2 linked regions of the Mus musculus genome follow. The protein of the gene in region 1 interacts with the protein of each later gene in a biochemical or structural test. Links are inferred from orthologs where the notes say so. Each region holds a gene or a part of one and is shown in the gene's direction. Other genes may lie near its edges.

Evidence for each region. The genes of interacting proteins can lie anywhere in the genome.
Region 2: the proteins of Itgb2 (region 1) and Icam1 form a complex in vitro, tested with the Homo sapiens proteins (4 studies listed by BioGRID). The link is inferred for Mus musculus from reciprocal best matches to the Homo sapiens genes ITGB2 and ICAM1.

Annotation. Positions count from the first base shown.
Region 1 is NC_000076.6:77,526,134-77,536,220, forward strand, and holds the start of Itgb2 (integrin beta-2 isoform 1 precursor), read left to right. Parts: upstream 1-4,236; 5' UTR 4,237-4,326; intron 4,327-10,087.
Region 2 is NC_000075.6:21,010,915-21,021,045, forward strand, and holds the start of Icam1 (intercellular adhesion molecule 1 precursor), read left to right. Parts: upstream 1-5,025; 5' UTR 5,026-5,120; coding exon 5,121-5,187; intron 5,188-8,004; coding exon 8,005-8,265; intron 8,266-10,131. UniProt on the Homo sapiens protein: ICAM proteins are ligands for the leukocyte adhesion protein LFA-1 (integrin alpha-L/beta-2).

The DNA of each region.
Region 1 (10,087 bases):
GTCAGAAGTCTCTTCAGCATACTAATTTCCCGTCATCGTGGTAGTTACCCAGTGACTAGTTCTATTTGTGGGTTTCTGAGGAAGTTCTATCTGGTCCTCCACAATGGATGGACATGCTAATTGGCATCCCTACCAAAAGTTCATAGTGGGGGCTGGTGAGATGGCTCAGTGGGTAAGAGCACCCGACTGCTCTTCCAAAGGTCTGAAGTTCAAATCCCAGCAACCACATGGTGGCTCACAACCATCTATAACAAGATCTGACGCCCTCTTCTGGAGTGTCTGAAGACAGCTACAGTGTACTTACATATAATAAATAAATAAATCTTAAAAAAAAAAAAAACTGAGTGCATTTACATTCACTTTAAAAAAATAAAAAAAAAAAAATAAATAAATAAAAAGAACATCATCAGGCCAGTCACCCATGCTTTGTATCCTGTGAGGCTGAGACAGGAGGCCTGAGAGTTTGAAACCTGAATTTGTAAAAAAAAAAAAAAAAAAAAAAAAAAAAAAAAAAAAAAAAAAAAAGTTCATAGTGTTAGCAATCAGGCATTACTACTGCCTGCCCTGGGGACCTAGGGACAGCAGGATATGTCATCGCTAGGTGCCAAGATGTGACACATTCCCACTGTCACCAATAGTCTCCCACATCCCTCCTCCTCCCCATCCACACCTCCCCCACTCTCCACTCATGTGCCAGTCCCTCCTCATTCTCTTCCTCCCACCACCCTGGTCCAGACGCAGTGGCCTCTGCACATCCCTCCCCAAAAAGCCTCCCACATGAGAGCTGTTGCATGGTATGACTCTATGGCATCCATTGCTTAGCTCAGGACACATAGGCATCCCCCCGCCCCACACCCTCACTGCGTCTGCCTTTCTTTGTCCAGTAATGGCCATGCTGGGGTGAGAGATCATCTCTCGTGGCTTTGATTTGCATTTCCCCTAAGAACTAAAGATGTTTAGTATTTTTTATATTTGTTGGCTACTCATACACATATTTCCGAGAAACACATGATCAGATCATTTGCATAGAGTTAAAATGGGTTTATTTCTCCTTTTGGCTGCCTGAGAAGAATCTCACCATTGTGCTTTTTAAAAAGGTTTGTTTTTCTAAATCATGTGTGCATATGTTTGAGGAGGCCATTAAGGGGCTTTAGCTCCCCTGAAGCTGGAGTTACAGATGGTTGTGAGCCGCCTGGTGTGGGTACTGAGAACCAAACTGCAGTCCAGACACACTAGGATTCTTTTTCTCCTCCTCCTCCTCCTCCTCTTCCTCTTCCTCCTCCTCCTCCTCTTGTTTGTTTTTTGTTTTTGTTTTTTTGAGACAAGGTTTCCCTGTATAGCCCTGGCTGTCCTAGAACAGCTTTGTAAACCATGTTGGCCTCAGACTCACCGAGATCCACCTGCCCCTGCCTCCTAAGTGCTGGGATTAACAATGTGCACCACCTTAGTGCTCTCAGTCTTGAGATGCACCTTGTGGCTAACGTTCTCATCCAGTCCTTCCTACAGGCACGGGATGCTTCTCACTCTGTCGGGTGGGTCTCCAGCTTGGCAGGGCTCTGGGCGTCTCCTTTCGTGGTCTCCTTAGTAGTTAATTTTGACTTCCTTGAGATTTCTGTAGCTTGGACTGAATTGAGACTTGCTTTGTACCCTCAGTGAGTGATCCCAACGTGTTTTGACATCACGGCACGGTGTGGAAAGTTAGAATATTCGTTCAAGCATTTCACAGCATTCTATTTGGCCTGTCTGCTTCTGTGTTACACTTGCAGTGGTTAATTTTGATTAAGAGATGACCCTTAGAGAATTAGTGAAACACTCCTTTGGGTATTTCTGTGAGGAGTTTCTAGAGAGGATTAACAGAAAACCCATCTTGAAGGTGATCAGAACCATCCCATAGGCTGAGGCGGGGATGGGGGAGAGGATCCAACACCTTCTTCTGACCTCCGGGGGGCACCCACACAGACATACACACAAACACATTAAAAAAAAAGTGCGCCGGGCGTGGCAGCACTCGCCTTTAATCCCAGCACTCAGGAGGCAGAGGCAGAAAGATCTCTGTGAGTTTGAAGCTAGCCTGGTCTTTCAGGGCAGCCAGAGGTCCTGTCTCAAAACAAAAATTAATTAATTAGCTAATTAATTAATTAATTAAAATTTAAAAGATAAAATTTAAAATTAAACTTTTTTTTTAAGAAAGGAAAACTTGAACCCCTACTGAGCTCCAAGACACACCACAGACTTCCCCACCAAGATGGCCTGTATCCCAGGTGATGAATCCTCCCTCCCTTAAAGTTCTTCTTGTCAGGTTTGGTTTCTGTGATAAGAACTCCCACTGATACCACACTACACGTGTTTGAAGGTCTGTGGCTCCATCGGTTTGCTCCAGTCTCAGTTTTCCTTTTGAGTGTATTGAAAAGTGATCAAGATTGTGGTGTCTTTGTGAGTGCTGTGGCGTATGCCCACGTTTGTCTGTTTGTGAGGGAGCTGGCTTGTGCATGCATGCTCTCGTGGAAGCCAGGGGTCTTCCTCAATTGCCCTCTGCCTCATTTTTTGAGACAGGATCTCTTTGCTGAGCTCAGAGCTTACCGATGAGCTAGACTGGCTGACCAGTGAGCATCAAAGATCCAAGAGGACAATAGTCCATATCTCCAGCTCTGGAGTACCAGGCACACACAGCCACACCCAGCTTTGCGCATGCCCAATGGGGTGCTGAGCTCACGTCATCAAGTTTGTGTTGCAAGCACTTTACCCTCTGAGCTATCTCCCTGGCCTCTGAACTATGCCTTTCTGATATTTGGTGGTGTTTGTTAGTATTTTCTACAAGTATGTGCAGGTCTTTCATTCTTGACTTTTGTCCCCCGTTCCCCGTCCTTTATGAGCTAGGATCTTACAGTTCTGCCTGGCTGGTCTTGAATTCACAGCGGTCCTCCTTTTTTTTTTTTTTTTTTAAAAAAAAGATGTATTTGTTTTTTTTATGTACATGAGTACACTGTAGCTATCTTCAGACACACCAGAAGAGGTCATCGGATCCAATTACAGATGGTTGTGAGCCACCATGTGGTTGCTGGGATTTGAACTCAGGATCTCTGGAAGAGCAGTCAGTGCTCTTAACCACTGAGCCAGTGGTCCTCCCGCATCAGCATCCTACATTCTGGTATTACAAGTGTGAACTGATACACCTGCTTTCCAACAATGTTCTTTCAACAGTTGGCATCTTTTGCACATTTTTTTTCAACTGTGAGAAGATATAGAAAATATGCATAAAGGTTCAGGGCTATTAACTTCTTGTAACCCTCTCAACCATTATCACCAGGATGTCCTGCATAGCTGATGTCCCCACTCCACAGCTTTATCTTCATGTAACTATGTCTTTAAAAATTCTACCAAGCATACTACACGAAGAAAGAGTAACACATGAACACCCAGGTCTTCAGCCAACACCCCCCCCCCCAACCCTCCGCTGTGGTCACCTCCTGGCCTCTGTCTTGTATCCACACCCACCTCCAACCCCCATCCTGATTACAAGGAAGAAAATCTGCCATGTTTTTCTACCATTTGCGAGCATTTCAGCATGTAACTCTAAAGATGCAGGTAGTGGGATGTAACCATGAAACATTGTTGCGGAAAGAATTAACTGTTTCTCAACAAGGCTGACATCTCAAATCTTATGCTAAAGGTTCCCAACTCCCTTTGGTGTCTCTCTTTCTGCCCTCTCTCCTCTTGCAACTAGTCAGGTGGGGTTTTGTTCACCACTAACTTTGTGATTGAGCTCCTACAGTGTTACTTAACACATCCCTCCATGCCCCACTCTGCCCCATTTCTCTGCCCAGGACCTTCCCCTGCCTCCTTCTTCCCATTCGCCTGCTTCCTCGAGTGGGCTACCACCTCAGCCCATCCACTTGTAGCTGGGTCCTTCTCCCAGACTGAGAACCCACACAATCAGCCTCTGCTTCCGCCTGCTGGTCCATGAATCCCTACCTCTTCTTGACATGTGAGAGAGCCCCTCGATGCTATCAATGGCTGCTGCTTCCAACAGTAGCCCCTCCACTCTTGCCGTAAAAGCTTGTCATCGCCTACAAGCCCCTCCCTCTCTCAGTGTCTCTTCTCTAACGTCCCACGTGTAAAGGGGCTGAGGTGATACCCACATGTGGGCCAATCAGCCAAATGTCACTCAACTTCCTCCTGGGCGCTGACTTAGAACAGGAAGTGTCAGGCGGGGGGGCCTCAGCGGCTGTGTTCTTTAGACACAACCACACAGCCAGCTGGCAAGAAGTAGGCAAAGACATCTCCAGTCAGATTCTCGGAGTGGAGGCTTCCTGGGACTGAGAGGGGGTGAGTGCAGGGCTCCTGTGTTCAGGTAGCTCTTATGGGAAACACCTCAGAAGTGGGCTCTTCCGGTGGAATTTCTCTTTATGACTCCAGCCCGACAGGCACTGGTGGCCTTTCCCCATCTCTCACCTTGCCTATCTGTCAAAAAAATGGTCTTGTACATGTGGCTTCTGGCTATTCAGACTCTCCTGACTGACGTCCAGGGATGGGAGGCCTGGTACCACAGCTGAGCAGAGTTTCAGGAGCGCTGGGAACATCTGTAACTGTGGGTCAGCAGGCAGCCGACTGTGTTGATTCTCTCTCTGTGATAGTCGTGGATGCCCGGGACTGAGGAAGGTCAGCTATGATAAGGGGTAGGGGTGGTGGTGGAGGTGGCTGGGACAGATTGTGGGAGGGAAGGGGTCACATACTGACACCCACCTACTATGAATGGAAGTAGATACTTATGGTCATGAAGGTGAGTGTCAGATTGGAGGTAATGAGCAAGAGAAGGAGCTGCTGAGATGTCCATTGTCCCCATCTGCTTTAAAATGGCGTGTGGGGAGTGTGTATGTGTGTGTGGGGGGGGGGGTGATTCTCAGTCTACCCTGCAAGTCTCTGGAACCTGGGCTCCAAAATGCCCAGCCCAGCTTACAGCATAGCAGATAATAAGGAAGTCCTCTACCCAAGAATCCCACCCACATACCATAGTGGCCAGGCCTGGGGCCAGCAACCACAGGGTCATATCCCAGATAGGGGGAAGGTGTCAGGTGACAGACACCCTTTCTACATCCACCAGTGAGTGAGCAGATGAGAGATTGTTGACTGCTGCCATAAGCAGGAGTAAAATGAGCAAGTCCTGAGGGTTAGTTAGGGCTGGAGAGGCCCAAGTTTCCTATCTCCTCCTTTCTCCAACATTTCTCTGTTGACATATGTGGACACAGTCTTGCCGCAGGCATGCATTAGGCTGGGGTGAATTGTGTTCACTGCGATTGTGGAGGAACCATGCAATCATCCTTTGCAGGAAGTGCTGCAGGGGGCCGGGGGCTATCTTTGATACACAGCTTGGGAGGAAGCCTTCTGCTCTCTATGGAGAAAGGGTGTGAACTGGGGAGGCCACTGAACTCTGGGGAAATGAGAGGGTGGGCTGACTGGCTCTGCAAACTCCAAATGTCTGCAGTCAATAATGACTCAAAATTCCCTTCAAAACTCACTCCCATGAGGAGTGAGCCGTGGAGACTACTGAGGCTCCCGCTAGCTACAATCTATCATCACTCAGGTGCAGGTGGTTCTCTGCAGGTGGTAGGGCTGGGGATAGGGGTGTGGGGTGTTGAATGTGTGTGTGGAGCTACATGGAGCCCTGGTGGGGTGACTCTGTAGGGAGGTGCAGGTTCTGACTCAGCTACTTTATTCACATCTCTCCCCCTTTGGACATGAGTCAGACCTGCCTGAGGTTCCCAAATGCTTCCAAGTGCACTCGGTCACTCAGAGGTTACATACAGTTCAAGCCTTGGGGGGGAAAAAACAGCTCAGGGCATCCTCTGCCTGGCTGTTGGACAACCTTAGGGGATGTTCAAGAAATAACCCCAGGCAGCCAACCCAGTACTGGCTGGCTCCATTCTCTATCTCTGTTGCATAAATGGGACCTCAAAGGGAAGTGTTGGTTTCCTCCCTCACCCCACATGCCTGAGGCCCTGTGGATCGCTCTCCATGACACTTCTATAGTGGGAGGTGGTAGCCAGGCTGAGACAGGTGGCCCAGGTAAGCCAAGTGATTAGAGCCCTATGGTTGCTGAGTGCTGCTATCTCCCTAAAGCATATATCTCTGCTGCCAGAGGTCCAGGCTGTTATAGGCTATCTGATCACACTGTGAACTCTGCATTATTTACCAAAGGGAAAAAAGGGGTTTCTATTTGTGGTGTGGCCCATTAGCACATGCTGTTAATCCCTCTGAGTGGAATACAGACATACCCTTAGTACACACCTTTGCTCCCAAACAATGAAGGTAAAGTTAATTTGTAGAAGGAAGTAGCCATGTTTGAAAGTGGTGTCTAATTGAGTGGCAGACAAAGTGACGAAGCAGAGAAAGATTTGACTGAATAGGATATGCCCAACTCTCACTAGAAGAGAGAGGAAAGAGAAGCTACTTAGAGAAAGAGGGGAGGGGGAAGAAGGAAGAGGAGGAGGGGGAAGAGGCAGTTTTTAGTGGGAGAGTTGTACAGACACAGGTGAAGACAGAATGAACCAGAGAATGAGAAGGAGCCAGAAGATCAAAACAGATTGCTAGAGTTAGTTTGAGGCCAAACAGAGCAATTCAGAAGAAAATGAGAGAGGTCAGATTAAATCAGTCAACCCAGAGAGGAGTTTGAGCCAGAACAGCTGAGTTGAATCAGCCAGAATTGAGAAAGAACTAGGAAGGGGTAAGCTTATTCAACAGCAAGTCTCAGAGGCTGAAAACATTCTAGACCTAGATTAGATTATATGAAGGCTAGAAGCATCCAGGACTAGGCCTAGGTTAGCCGACTGAAGCAGTAAGCCTCTTAGACAACAATTACATCAGGCAAATAAAAGTTACGTTTATACCAGGCCTTGCCTCTGCATGTGGATTTTGCAAATAGTCTGATAGGATTTGCTTAAAACTTTAAGAGGAGTCTTATAGTCCTTTATTTAGGAGCTTTTCCCATAGCAGAGCAAGCCTGTGGCACAGCCAGAGTCCTTATAAAGCAGAGGTCAGGTCACCCCTGTCATCACCCAGCAAGTGGTTCCTTGGTAAAGAGTTGGAGGATCTGCAGAGGTCAGGTCAGGTCAGGTCCTGGACTATTGAGGACGTGTGCCCTGACAGCTTCTCCCTCCTTGGAAAACACAGCATCTGGGCTAGTCACTGCCCCCGCTTCCCCACCGCCAGCATCAACGCAGCCAACACTGTAGTAAGAAGCCGAGAGGCTGCCTTCTGCTCCGTCTCCCTGGATCCCACAAACACCCACATCCCCATGCCATCAGTCCTGAGATGGTCTGTGTAGGGACTTAGAAGGTTGGGGTCCAACACCCCTTGAAGCTGACAGAGAAGAGACTGGCACTTTGGCTACCTCAGAAACAACCTAAGCAGGAAGCCATCCGTCAGCCTCACAATGCTATTTTGCAGCACCACCCCAACAACTTTCTGAAAGCTGGGCATTAGTTTAGGGTCAAGAGGTCTCAGGGTTCTCCACAGAAATGAGCCAACGTGAGGCAGGCCCTTCAACGGATAGGATGAGGCCCAGTGAACTATGGGAGGAAAATCTACTTTGTTGAGTCTATTGACGCAGAGGTTAATCTTGGAAAATGCCTGCCTAGTAATGTCCAGCCCCATGTTAGAACCAGTGTTTGGGCTCTGTAGCTCAGCCACATAGACACGGAGGGCCACCTGTGCAGAATCCTTTGCCTCCGTTGAGAGGAAACAGAGTGGCCTGTCTGTGAAACCCATGCAGCTGGGCCTAGGTCTAGAAGTATCAGCTCTAGGGCGGAGCCAATGTGTACATAACTTGCTGCTGTGTCTGGTTCTGGGGCTTAGGTGACAGGCTGGTCCTCTTGGAGCAAACCCACAGACTGAGGCCAGGCATAGGTTAATAGAGACACAGGCTAGCCCACATGCTGGTGTGATCTCCATTACTGTTTCTGGAGAACCACTGTCCACTTCCAGAAGCTAGCCCTGACACCCGTGGGCCTTCCATAACAGGGTCCCTACCAGTGATTCATTGCAACCAGTTATGGCCTATGTGCAAGAGATATGGACATGGGCGTGCCAGGCCTCTATGATGCTCAGATCCGGCCTGTGAGAGATGTAGGGACTTCAAGGCCTCGATGCTGCTGCTTTCAAGGCAGAAGTCTCAAATGGGCAAGGATCTCCCTGAGCTCCAGGGTCTAAGGATGCTCATGGTCAGTTCCCAAGGGAAGCCATCAACGGTGCCCTGGGGTGCTGTTTGGAATGGTGGGAGCTTTGGAACATTCAGAAACTCAGCCAGGGCGGGGGCAAGACACAGGAAAATTAAGCCTATGAATCTCTGAGAGCAGCCTGGATATCCCAGTCCACGGCCCTGAAGAGACCAGCAAGCGCTTACAGCTAGCAAAGGTCTGATGAGCAGGTTCCCATAGCAGTGTGAGGTCACCATTCTTCCTCTTCCCGAGGTCACGATGGAACTCTCCTCTCCTCAGGAATGTTGGCAGTGGGGACAGAAACATCAATCGCTTGGGGGACTGTAAGAGGCAATTTCCCATAGTGTGTTCACCAGAGCTTTTAAGTCGGCTCTGTGCACAGTTATGATACAAAGCTGGAAACTATAGACCGACTATGAAGGAGCCTGAAGGCACGGGGATGATGCTACCCACAAGACCTGGCATGTTTTGATCCATGGCTTTTTCTTTTTCCCTTCCATTTGCTCTCACTGTGAGAATGAGTTGCTCCAGCGGCTGTCCGTGCTATGCCGCTGCTGCGCCAGATCCCACAGGAAGGGCATCATGAATGTTAAAATGGTGACGCTGCCACCTTCCATTTGTAAGCTACTCCAGAAATGTCCCAGTTTTGATGGGCATCCCACGTCCCTCGGCCTCTGTGTTCTGCCTGTTGAATGCTTCTCTGAGTTCACAGTCCACGCTTCTCTGAAGGCTCACCTTCTGTCACTAGCTTCTCGAATTCTTTTAGAGAGGAAACTTAGCATTCGCTGTTTACACTAGAATTAGCGGTTATCTCCGTAGAGTGTATTATGCATGGAATGGTTTCTTCTAACAGTGTCTTCTTGGTTGTTTTCCTTTAGATTTTGTACACACATTTCTTTACCATAAGGCACACAGCCTTGTCTTATCTTTTTTCCATTGTATCTTTAGTGGGTTCTGTTGAAGACAGGCTTTTAATGTAGCCCAGGTTGGCTTCAAACTCACTCAAGAGTGACCTTGAACTTCTGATCCCCTGGCCTCAATCTCTGCTTGATTTTTCTAAAACTGAGTTATACAGATTCCTCTTCATTCTGTGTGTGTGTGTGTGTTTGTATGTTTTGAGTATATTTGTTTGTGTGTGTATTTGTGTGTGTGTGCTATGTGTGTTTGTATATTTATGTGTATGTTTTATGTGTGTGTAATTGTTTGTATGTGTGTATTTGTGTGTGTATGCTATGTGTGTATGTGTTTTTGTGTATTTATGTGAGTGTATAATTGTTTGTGTGTATTTGTGTGTGTGTGTATTTGTGTGTGTGTGTATTTTGTGGTTTTTGTGTATATATGTATATTTGTGTGTGTGTGTGTATGCGTTTGTGTGTGTGTGTTTCTTTGGGTGTTTGGGTGGAAGCCCGAAGACCTCAGCTGTCATCCTCAAGAACCACTACCTCCTTTGAAACAGTCTCTCCCTGGAGCTAACAGCTAGCCCATACTGGCTGGCCAACAAGTTCCAAGGATCTGTCTGTTTCTATCACCTGTTTTGAAATTACAAGTCTCTCTCCCCCCCCCCCCCCCCCCGCTCCTTTCTTCTTTTCCTTTTTTTTTTTTTTTTTTAAACAACATGTGTTCTGGGATTGAAATCTGGGTCCTTATACAAGTGTTTTACCAACATTTACTCTCCCAACTACTCTCATTCTAATGTGACCACAGCAACAGCACCAGAGCCCTGGCTGGGCCACACTAGATCACCATAGACAGCAGGACGCCTCTTGTATACTGACATGTCTGTAAGGATGCTTGGAGTTTCCCTTAAGACTTGGGACTTTTCATTGCGTTGTTTTTCTATTCATTTTAATGAATTAATTAACATGTGTACTCAT
Region 2 (10,131 bases), on another chromosome or scaffold:
TTTCCTCTGCTTGGAAACATGCCAGGCACAGGTCTTTAATCCTAGCACTCAGGAGACAGAGATAGGCGCATCTCTGAGTTCAGGCCAACCTGGTCTACAAGTGTGTTCTAGGTCTGCCATGCTAAAAAAACAGAAACAAAAACCAAGCATACAAAACCACCGAAGAAATCACTGGGATAAGTTGTAGGTATGCTGATGCTAGCCCAGTGTGGCTAGCTGTGACATGTCTCTGTCGTGTCTCTTTTTTTTTTTTTTTTTTAAAGATTTATTTATTTATTATATGTAAGTACACTGTAGCTGTCTTCAGACAGTACCAGAAGAGGGCATCAGATCTCATTACGGGTGGTTGTGAGCCACCATGTGGTTGCTGGGATTTGAACTTCACTTCGGACCTTTGGAAGAGCAGTCGGGTGCTCTTACCCACTGAGCCATCTCACCAGCCCCTTCTGTCATGTCTCTTGTGAAGCTAAAGATCCTAAAGCCAGAATCCCAGCCAGGTGGTGGTGGCACACGCCTTTAATCCCAGCACTCGGGAGGCAGAGGCAGGTGGATTTCTGAGTTCGAGGCCAGCCTGGTCTACAGAGTGAGTTCCAGAACAACCAGGGCTATACAGAGAAACCCTGTCTCAAAAAACCAGCAAAAACAAAACAAAACAAAACAAAAAACAACAAAAAGAGTCCCAGCCTAAAAAGACACAGATGATCTCGAGACCGGCCATCACCACGCACAGAGCTTTCATAAAAATTCAGAACCTGTCCCTGCACACTGGAGACCCTCAGCCAGCTGGAGGAGGGAAAAGGCATCCTAGGAAAGTGAGACTGTGTCTAGAATGTACTTTCAAGTTATTGGGATAGAGCCGGGCAAGGTGTTGAATGCACTTGGGAAGTTGAGGCAGGAGGATCATGTCAACGTGGGCTCTGTAGTAAGTCTGAATCTAGCCTGAACTACATGAAACCTTATCTCAAAAAGCAAAACAGTGGGGGCCAGGGCTGGCAGAATGCTCATCTACTACTCATTGAACTAGGGGAAATGTAAGCAGGGCGTGGTGGTGCTACCCCAGATCTTGAGTGTTGGAAGCAGAAGCTGGGGAGTTCCAAGCCAGCCTGGGCTATAGCCCAAGAGCCTGTCTCAAAGTAAATAAATAAAAACTGAGGCGGCTCAGGCTGCAGGAAGGAGACAGGAGGACAAGCTGTGTTGGGATGAGTGGGAAGGCATAGTGGGTGGAGGGAACTGAAAAAGTCCCCTCCAGAACACCGAGGTAATATCATAGACTGATCCGCAGAGCATTCCTTAGTCCTTGTGAGACCACTTGGCTCCAGGGAGGAAGTCATGCGCTTCCTGCAGACTGAGGTACAGGGCAGGGGAGGAAATTACAAAGGCATGTAACTCTAGTGTGCTGCTCCACAGTCTATTGCCGCCATTTACCTTCCCATCTCCACTCAGCGAAGGACCCTTCCAGGATCTCAGACCCCTCGACCCTGGCCCCAAGCCCCAACAGCTCCAAAGGGTCTAGCCTGAGAATGGACTCAAGTCCAAGAGATAACCAGTGGACCATGCAGGAAGGTTCTCATGTATTCCAGGTTAGCTTCTAGCCTTTGTTTGCTCTTAATTTCTATGTGTGATGCTCTGTATACACAGACCCATGCAGGCCAGAAGAGGGCATCAGATCCCATTACAGATGGTTGATGGTTGTGAGCCATCATGTAGGAATTGAACACAGGACCTCTGGAAGAATAATCAGTCCTCTTACCTGTTGCACTCTCACACTCTCTCTCCAGTCCCCCTTTCTTCCTTCCTTCCCTCCTTCCTTTCTTTCTTTCAAGACAGGGTTTCTCTGTGTAGCCTTGGCTGTGTAGCCTCCAACTTAAAGATCCACCTGCCTCTGCCTCCCAAGTGTTGGTATTAAAGACATGTACCACCACTGCCCGGCTGCCACAGCTACTCTTAACTGCTGAGCCATTTCTTTCCAGACCCTCTTTTAATTAAAAAAAAAAAAAGAAAAGTGTGTGTGTTTGCCACATGTATGCAGATGTCTGAATTCCCGATCCTCTTTCCTCCACCTGGGCTTTGTGCTTGTTAATCAGGCACTCTACTGAGCTCCAGCCCCAGAAAGATTGATTTTTTTGTTTGTTTGTTTTGTTTTTTTATGGGATCCCTGGAGCTTGCGTTACAAGCAATTGTGAGCCTCTAGATGTACTGGATCCAAGCCCAGGTGCTCTGCTCCTAACCACTAGGCCATCCCTCCAAGCTATGCTCACCACACCAGTTTTTTTTTTCTTTTTTTTTTTTTTTGGCTAAGATTTATTTATTTTATGTATGTGAGTACACTGTAGTTGTCTTCAGATGCACCAGAAGAGGAGGGTATCAGATCTCATGGATGGTTGTGAGCCACCATGTAGTTGCTGGGAATTGAACTCAGGACCTCTGGAAGAGCAGTCAGTGCTCTTAACCGCTGAGCCATCTTTCCAGGCCCCACACCAGTTCTTTTTAACCATCAAACTCTCTATCCCTGGCTTTAGTTTTCTATTTTATCAGTAATCACAAAATAATACCCCATGCTTTTTTTTTTTTTTGAGAAGCCCTAAGTGTAGCCCAGGCTAGCCTTAAACATGTAGCAGAGGATAACCTTGAATTCCTGATCCTCTTTCCTCCACCTGGGCTTTGTGCTTGTTAATCAGGCACTCTACTGAGCTCCAGACCCAGAAAGATTGATTTTTTGTTTGTTTGTTTTGTTTTTTTTGGGACAGGGTTTCTCTGTATAGCCCTGGCTGTCCTGGAACTCACTTTGTAGACCAGGCTGGCCTCGAACTCAGAAATCCGCCTGCCTCTGCCTCTGCCTCTGGAGTGCTGGGATTAAAGGCGTGTGCCACCACGCCCGGCTAAGATTAATTTTTTTTAATTACTGTGTTAGATTAATTTTATTTTATATGTGTATTTTATACACTTAACACTTAGTGTGCTTGTGTGTGTGTGTGTGTGTGTGTGTGTGTGTGTGTGTGTGTGTGTGTGTACTACATGCATGCTGGCTGCTTGGCATGGGTGCTGGGAACTTAATTTCAGTCCTCTGCAATAGCAGGATATACACTCAACCACTGAGCCACCTCTCCAGCCATAAGACTGTGTGTGTGTCCAGAAGAAAACATCAGATCGCTAGAGCTGGAGTTACAGATGGTTGTGAGCTGCCATGAGGGTGATGGGAATTGAACCTGTGTTCTCTGCAAGAGCACTTGCTCTGAACTGCTGACCCATCCATCTCTCCAGCCCCCAGTTTATGGTTCTTGAAGAAATCATGTCTTGTGGAACTGACCTTAAACTCATCCAGTCAGTCTCTGGTCTTGTTCCAGTGTACTCTTCAGTACACTTCCAGGCTGCTGCTGTATGCTGCTGGCTTCTCTGTTGAAGGAGTTATGTTCTGCTCATTGATGCTCCACTGAGGATCAAAGCAGGATTTTCCAATATTCAGCTCTTGGACCGATTGGTGCGCTCAACACAGAAGGTGCCGCTTTAAACAGTCAAACTAAAGACTGCATATGGGACCTTAGGGCAATGGAGTCTCAAACAGGTGAAATGAGGACCAAAGACTCTCAGTGACACCACTAGAAAAATCCACTCTGAGGGATTTCCCAGATTCCCTTGAGGTCACTCTGAAACTCCATCATAGTTGTCCTGGGGTAGAGATTGAGTGCCCGCTCCCCAGACACCCCCCCCCCCCAATCAAAACATCCCCGTGGAAATTCCTTAGGAATAACCAGGCTTCAGGCTTGGGTGTGGAGTGGCCTGGGAGCTGTGGGCTCTGGAGGAAGAGCACACGTGCATCTCGACCTCTCCCTTCCGCATCTGCAGCACGACCTCCTGGCCCAGGGCTGGTCTCCACAGCAACTGTATAGGCGTCTTAAAACAGGAAGCCTCGGGCGTCCAAAGGCCAGTAAGCAAGCCACTGGGTCTTGGAAGACTAGGGTTTGATATCTCTCTTTGTCCAATCTCATTGTTCAAGGTCTGCCTCAGTTTCACTGCGAAAAGCAAGAGCAGTGGAGCACGAGGCAGGATCGGGAGTTCAAGGTCATCCTCAACTACAGGGCGTTTGAGGTCACCCTGAGCTACTTGACACCTGACCTCAAGAAGAGACAGCAGGGGGAGAGATGAGAGGGGGAAGGGGAGAAACTAGCACGGGGCGGGGCCAGAGGATGGAGGAAGTGGGGGAAAGGAGTGAGAAGGAGAGGAAACCCCCCCATAAGGCGCGCTGGGGAGTGGGGGATCTCTGCTTTCTGAGAGGTGCCTCTCCTCTTCGGAGTTCTGTTTCTCATCCAGTCTAAGAAAGGGAGGTGCAGGGCTCCACGCCACAGGACCAGACATCTTCCTTCCTTTTGGGGGAGCTGTCAAGACGCCCCAGAAGTCAAAGCAGAAAAGGGGAACCGAGGCCGCGGGGGCGGGAGCAGTCGTGAGTGGGAGAAGGGAAGTGAGGACTGCCTCTCAGGCAGGACTTTCTCACAGCGGATCTGTCCGGGCCTGCTTGGATCGCTGCTTCATCTCTAGTGCCAAGTGGGTGGAGCATGGTCCTGGGGAGAGGGGCACCTCTGAATGGATGGCGTCCCCTAACGATTCCAGGGAGCCCTTATCCCCGGCAAGGGCATGTCTGGTGGGTTAAAGAGGCTTGCAGTAGTTGGGGAAATCAGGACTTGATTTCGGATCCCTGCGAAATGCCGAGCCTCAGTTTATCCCTTTGAGGGGATGGCGGTCCTGATGTCGCAGGGGACTAGGCAGTAGTCAATCAGTTAACCAGGAGGCGTGACTCCTGGAGGCCCGGGGCCTTCTCTCCGGACTCACCTGCTGGTCTCTGACACCACCTCCCCCCACATGTCATTACTTCAGTTTGGAAATTCCTAGATCGCAGGGGCCAGCGAGGCAGGACCACCCCTCTCTGCCAGGGCACAGTCTCCACCCGGAAATACCGAAGCCCTCGTTCCGGAGGGGAAGGCGCGAGGTTTCCCGGAAAGTGGCCCCGACAGCACCGCCCCTCGGCCCCCCGTGAGCCAGAGACTATAAAAGCGCCGCCCGCCTCAGTCTGCACCCAGTGCTAGTGCTGAGCTCCGCTGCTACCTGCACTTTGCCCTGGCCCTGCAATGGCTTCAACCCGTGCCAAGCCCACGCTACCTCTGCTCCTGGCCCTGGTCACCGTTGTGATCCCTGGTGAGTCCGAGGTGGGGTCGCTTTGGGGGGCAGGTCTCCAAACTCCAGGACCCAGAGCGCGGTCGAAATCCCTGCTTCCCGGCCAGCGGAACATCACATAAATTCAGCTGTTAACGGGAAGTGGGATTGGAAACCCAGGGTTGAAAACTAACAGCCCGGAGTTCGAATCCCACGTAGCATCACTCCATGGGTGGGTTACAGAACCCAAAATCTCGGTCTCTCTCTCTCTCTCTCTCTCTCTCTCTCTCTCCCTCCCAGTCCCTCCCTCCCTCCCCCTCTCTCTGTCCTCTCTCTCTCCCCCTGTCCCCCTCTTCCCCTCCCTTCCTTTCTTTCCTGTTTTGAGAATGATGCCTTGACACGTTAGCCTAGGCTGGCCTTGAACTCAGTCCTCAAGGCCTCGCGGCTCTTCGGGTTACAGGCTCAAAACACACTACTCTCCTAAAACATGCACGTTTAGAACCTGGGCTCATGGTCTGTGCAATGGGAACTGTGGTCACAGTCCTTGTCATGGGGCAGTCAGAATATGGCTGAGGTGGGGAACAGATGGTCTGAGGGGCTGGCCCGTCCTAAAGTGAATCTTGAGGTCCGGTTCCCTCCCCCACAGACACCCGTTCCTCATCCTCACCCCTGGGGAAGTCCAGGCTGCTTCTGCGCTGGGGAATTCCAGGGTTGGTGTACCCTGGAGCCAGAGTGAGCCGGCTCAGGACTCCCCACCTTGCTGCTGCCTGGGGGCGGCGCCTGCCGTCCTCCCAAGAGAGGAAGATTCAGAACTTGTTCAGCAGCTATCAGGAGGCTCCCGACTTGGATTCCCGCAATCCATAACTCCTAGCTGGATGACTTCTTCTTGCCTCAGGGTTCTCCAAGGAGCCCGAATAATTCCAGAAGTATTGAGGAGAGTTGCTAGCTGTTATAGCTGTTATTACCTCCACCAGACCACCAATCATAGCACTGGGATCTTTGCGTGTGTGGGGGGGTGAGGGTGGAGAGATGGGGGAGGGGAAAGCTGAGTTCAGTTTTTTGTTGTTGTTGTTATTGGTTTTTCTTGTTTTTTTGTTTTTTTTGGTTGGTCTTGTTTTTTTGAGACAGGATTTCTCTGTGTAGCCCTGGCTGTCCTACAACTTGCTCTGTAGACCAGGTTGGCCTGGGACTGAGACCTGTCTGCCTCTGCCGCCCCAATGGTTCCATCCCCCACCCCCATTCGTTGTTTACTTTAGTTAAGTGGTTACACTTTATTTACTTATTGTACAGGCATGTGCTAGTGCCACAGCAGAATTGTGGCGCTCAGAAGGCAGCTTGCAGGACCACTTCCTTCCTCCTCCCTCTGCAGGGGCTCCGGGGGCTGAGGGCAGGTGGTCAGGCTTGCTGGCAAGCCCTTTACTGGCTCAGCCTCTTGTTGGCTCCTTTTTTGATGTTTTCACATAGAAACCATGTTGGCCAGGCTGTGTACTCCAGGCCAGGCTAACTCCTGATCTTCCTACTCAGCCTCCCAAGGGCTTGGTTTACAGTCCTGCGCCTTCACACCCAGCTGCGGACAGGCCTCAAGTCTTTGCATAAGTTAGTGAATGCTCTGCTTCTGGGCCCCCTCCCACCCCCAGGACTGAGGGATAACCTCAGCCACCCAAGGAACAAAGCAGTGTCTTACTGTGTAGCTAAAGCTCACTGTATAGATCAGGCTAGCCTCAAACTCACGAGTCTCCTGCCTCCTGAGTGCTGGAATTAATGGTGTGTGCCACCACATTTGGCACTGGGGACACCGTGACCCAGAGGATCTTCTTATTTCACTCTCTTCCTCTTCGTGCTGAGCATCCAGCCCCTGCCATGCTCCTTCTTCTGTCTGAAATTGGCTTCTTCTTCTTCTTCTTCTTCTTCTTCTTCTTCTTCTTCTTCTTCTTCTTCTTCTTCTTCTTCCTCTTCCTCTTCCTCTTCCTCTTCCTCTTCCTCCTCCTCCTCCTCCTCCTCCTCCTCCTCCTCCTCCTCCTCCTCCTCCTCCTCCTCCTCCTCCTCCTCCTCCTCCTCTTCTTCTTCTTCTTCTTCTTCTTCTTCTTCTTCTTCTTCCTTCTCTTCTTTTTCTTCTTCTTCTTCCTTCTCTTCTTTTTCTTCTTCCTATTTGGCCAGAGCCATCTCACCCTCCAGACCTCTGCTCAAATCTGTCACCAAGGAGTTATGTCCTGTTCTGTTCTGCTTAAGCCAAAAAAAAAAAAAAACCTCTTATTAACAACCACTATGGAGTCTGGCGTGGTGGCACAGGCCTTTAGTCCCAGCACTTGGGAGGCAGAGAGAGGTAAGGCATATCTTTTTGTGAGGCCAGCCTGGTCTACAGAGTGAGTTCTGGGGCAGCCAGGGTTACATAATGAAATCCTACCTCAAAAAAAAAAAAAAATCAAACAAGCTAAAAAAGGAAAAACAAAATAACAACAACCCATCCACCACTGAGGCTGGGCTGGTGCTGGGCCACGAGGGCAGAGCGCTTTCCTAGCAGGTCTGAAGACCTGGGCTCCTGTATCCAAGGCTGTCCTTACACTCCATTTGTAACCAAGGACCTTACTCAACCCCTGATCCCCCTGAGTGCTGGAGTTACAGGCGTGTGCCACCACACCCAGTTTCTGGGTGCTGAGAGGAAGGAGCTCAGGCATGCTAGGCAGTCAGCCCAGCCCCTCCACACTCATAATTTGTTGCCTTGTGTGCTGGGCACAATGGCCTCCTGCATGGGGTGCAGAATTCTGCCTGGCTGGAGGCTGTGAGGCCAGCACCTGGCCCTGAAGTCACAGGGATAACCAAACTTCCTCTCATCTCTCCCCCCCTCCCTTGTTGTTCCAGGGCCTGGTGATGCTCAGGTATCCATCCATCCCAGAGAAGCCTTCCTGCCCCAGGGTGGGTCCGTGCAGGTGAACTGTTCTTCCTCATGCAAGGAGGACCTCAGCCTGGGCTTGGAGACTCAGTGGCTGAAAGATGAGCTCGAGAGTGGACCCAACTGGAAGCTGTTTGAGCTGAGCGAGATCGGGGAGGACAGCAGTCCGCTGTGCTTTGAGAACTGTGGCACCGTGCAGTCGTCCGCTTCCGCTACCATCACCGTGTATTGTGAGTGGCAGGGCCAGGGCCTGGGAGCAGGGAGACTCACTGGGCACATGACAGCCTTGAAAAGTCCCACAGTCACTTAGAGATCTCTTTAAACATCTGCCAGCAGAGTGTGCCATAGGAATTTAGAACATTCTAGAATGCCACCATTGGATGCCTGGATTGTTCTGTGTTGTTTTGTTTAATTGTACTCTATGACTAATTGTGTCTAATGTTTTAGGTTTTTAAAAATAATCAATTTTTAGCCAGGCATGGTGGCGTACACCTTTAATCCCAGCACTCGGGAGGCAGAGGCAGGAGGATTTCTGAGTTCGAGGCCAGCCTGGTCTACAAAGTGAGTTCCAGGACAGCCAGGGCTACACAGAGAAACCCTGTCTTAAAAAAACCAAAAAAAGAAAAAAAGTCAATTTTTTATTTTATGTGCATTAGTGGTTTACCTCCATGTATGTCTGTGTGAGGGTATCAGATGCCCTGGAACTGGAGTTACAAACAGTTGGGAGCTGCCATCTGCGTGCTGGTAATTGAACTTGGATCCTCTGGAAGAGCAGCCAGTGCTCTTGACTGCTGAACCATCTCTCCAGCCCCAGTCATTTAATTGTTTGTTTGAAGACAGGGTCTCACGTAGCCAGGCTGGCCTTGGACTCACACTGCAGAGCTGAGGATGGCTTTGAACTGATGAACTTCCTGGTGCTGGGATTATAGGCTGATACCCCATACCTGGCTTACCTGGTCTTGGGGATTGAAGCAAGGACTTAGTGATTTCAAGGCAAGGACTCTGCCACTGAGCTGTAGACCCAGCCTCTGACCTAGATCCGACCCTTAAAAACACCTGCAACCCCAGGACTCAAGAGTGGAAAGAACAAGGATCTTAGAAGTTCACAGTCGTCCTTGGATACCTTATTTGGGACAGATAGCCTTGCCTGGACCACGTGGGACATTGGGGAGAGAGAGAGAGAGAGAAAGAGAGAGAGAGAGAGAGAGAGAGAGAGAGAGAGAGAGAGAGAGAGAGAGAGAAATCTTGCTTGGCATCAACAGAGGAGCTTCAGTTTCACATTACAGAGTATCATGGTCTACAATGCGTGGCATCCCAAGAGGCAGCAAGTGATAGGATTTAGGCAAGTGTACATGTTGCTCACCTCAATACCTGCCTAATGTCCTGTTTCCTCTGAAGACCGAATAACAGCTCATGATTGGTCTAATAGATTCTCAGAAGCAAGAGGAAGGACTGCTGGGCCCGCAGGACTCTGGAGACAAGAGTCAGAAACAGCCCTGGAGTTTGGATTGAACTTTTAAATTTGTAGTTTATTTTTAAAAATTATGTTGGGTGCAGTAGTGCATGCTTTTAATCTCAGTACCTGGGAGGCAGAGGCAAGAGGATCTTTGTGAGTTAAAAGCCAGCCTGGTCTACAGAGTTCCAGGCCAGCCAGGGATACACAGTGAGACTCTGTGTGTGTGTGCGCGCGCGCGCGCGCGCGCGTGTGTGCGCGAGTGCGTGTGCATGTGCCAAGATCAGAGGACAACTTGCAACTTGCACTAGTAATTTCTCTTCTTCCAGGTGGGTCCTGGAGAGGAACTCAGGTCAGCAGGCCTGGTGGCAAGTGCCTTCACTCTCTGAACCATCTTGCTAGTCCTCTTTATTGTTTATTGGGTTTTGTTTTTTGTTTTGTTTTGTTTTGGTTTTTGTTGTTGTTGTTGTTGTTTGTTTTTTCAAGACAGGGTTTCTTTGTGTAGCCCTAACTGTCTTGGAACTTTTCCTGTAGACCAGGCTGGCTTCCTTCTGCCTATCCTGGGCTCCTAAATACTGGGATTAAAGGTATGTGCCACTACCATCCAGCCTGCTGGCCCTGTTTTTATTTAAAGAGTGTGTGT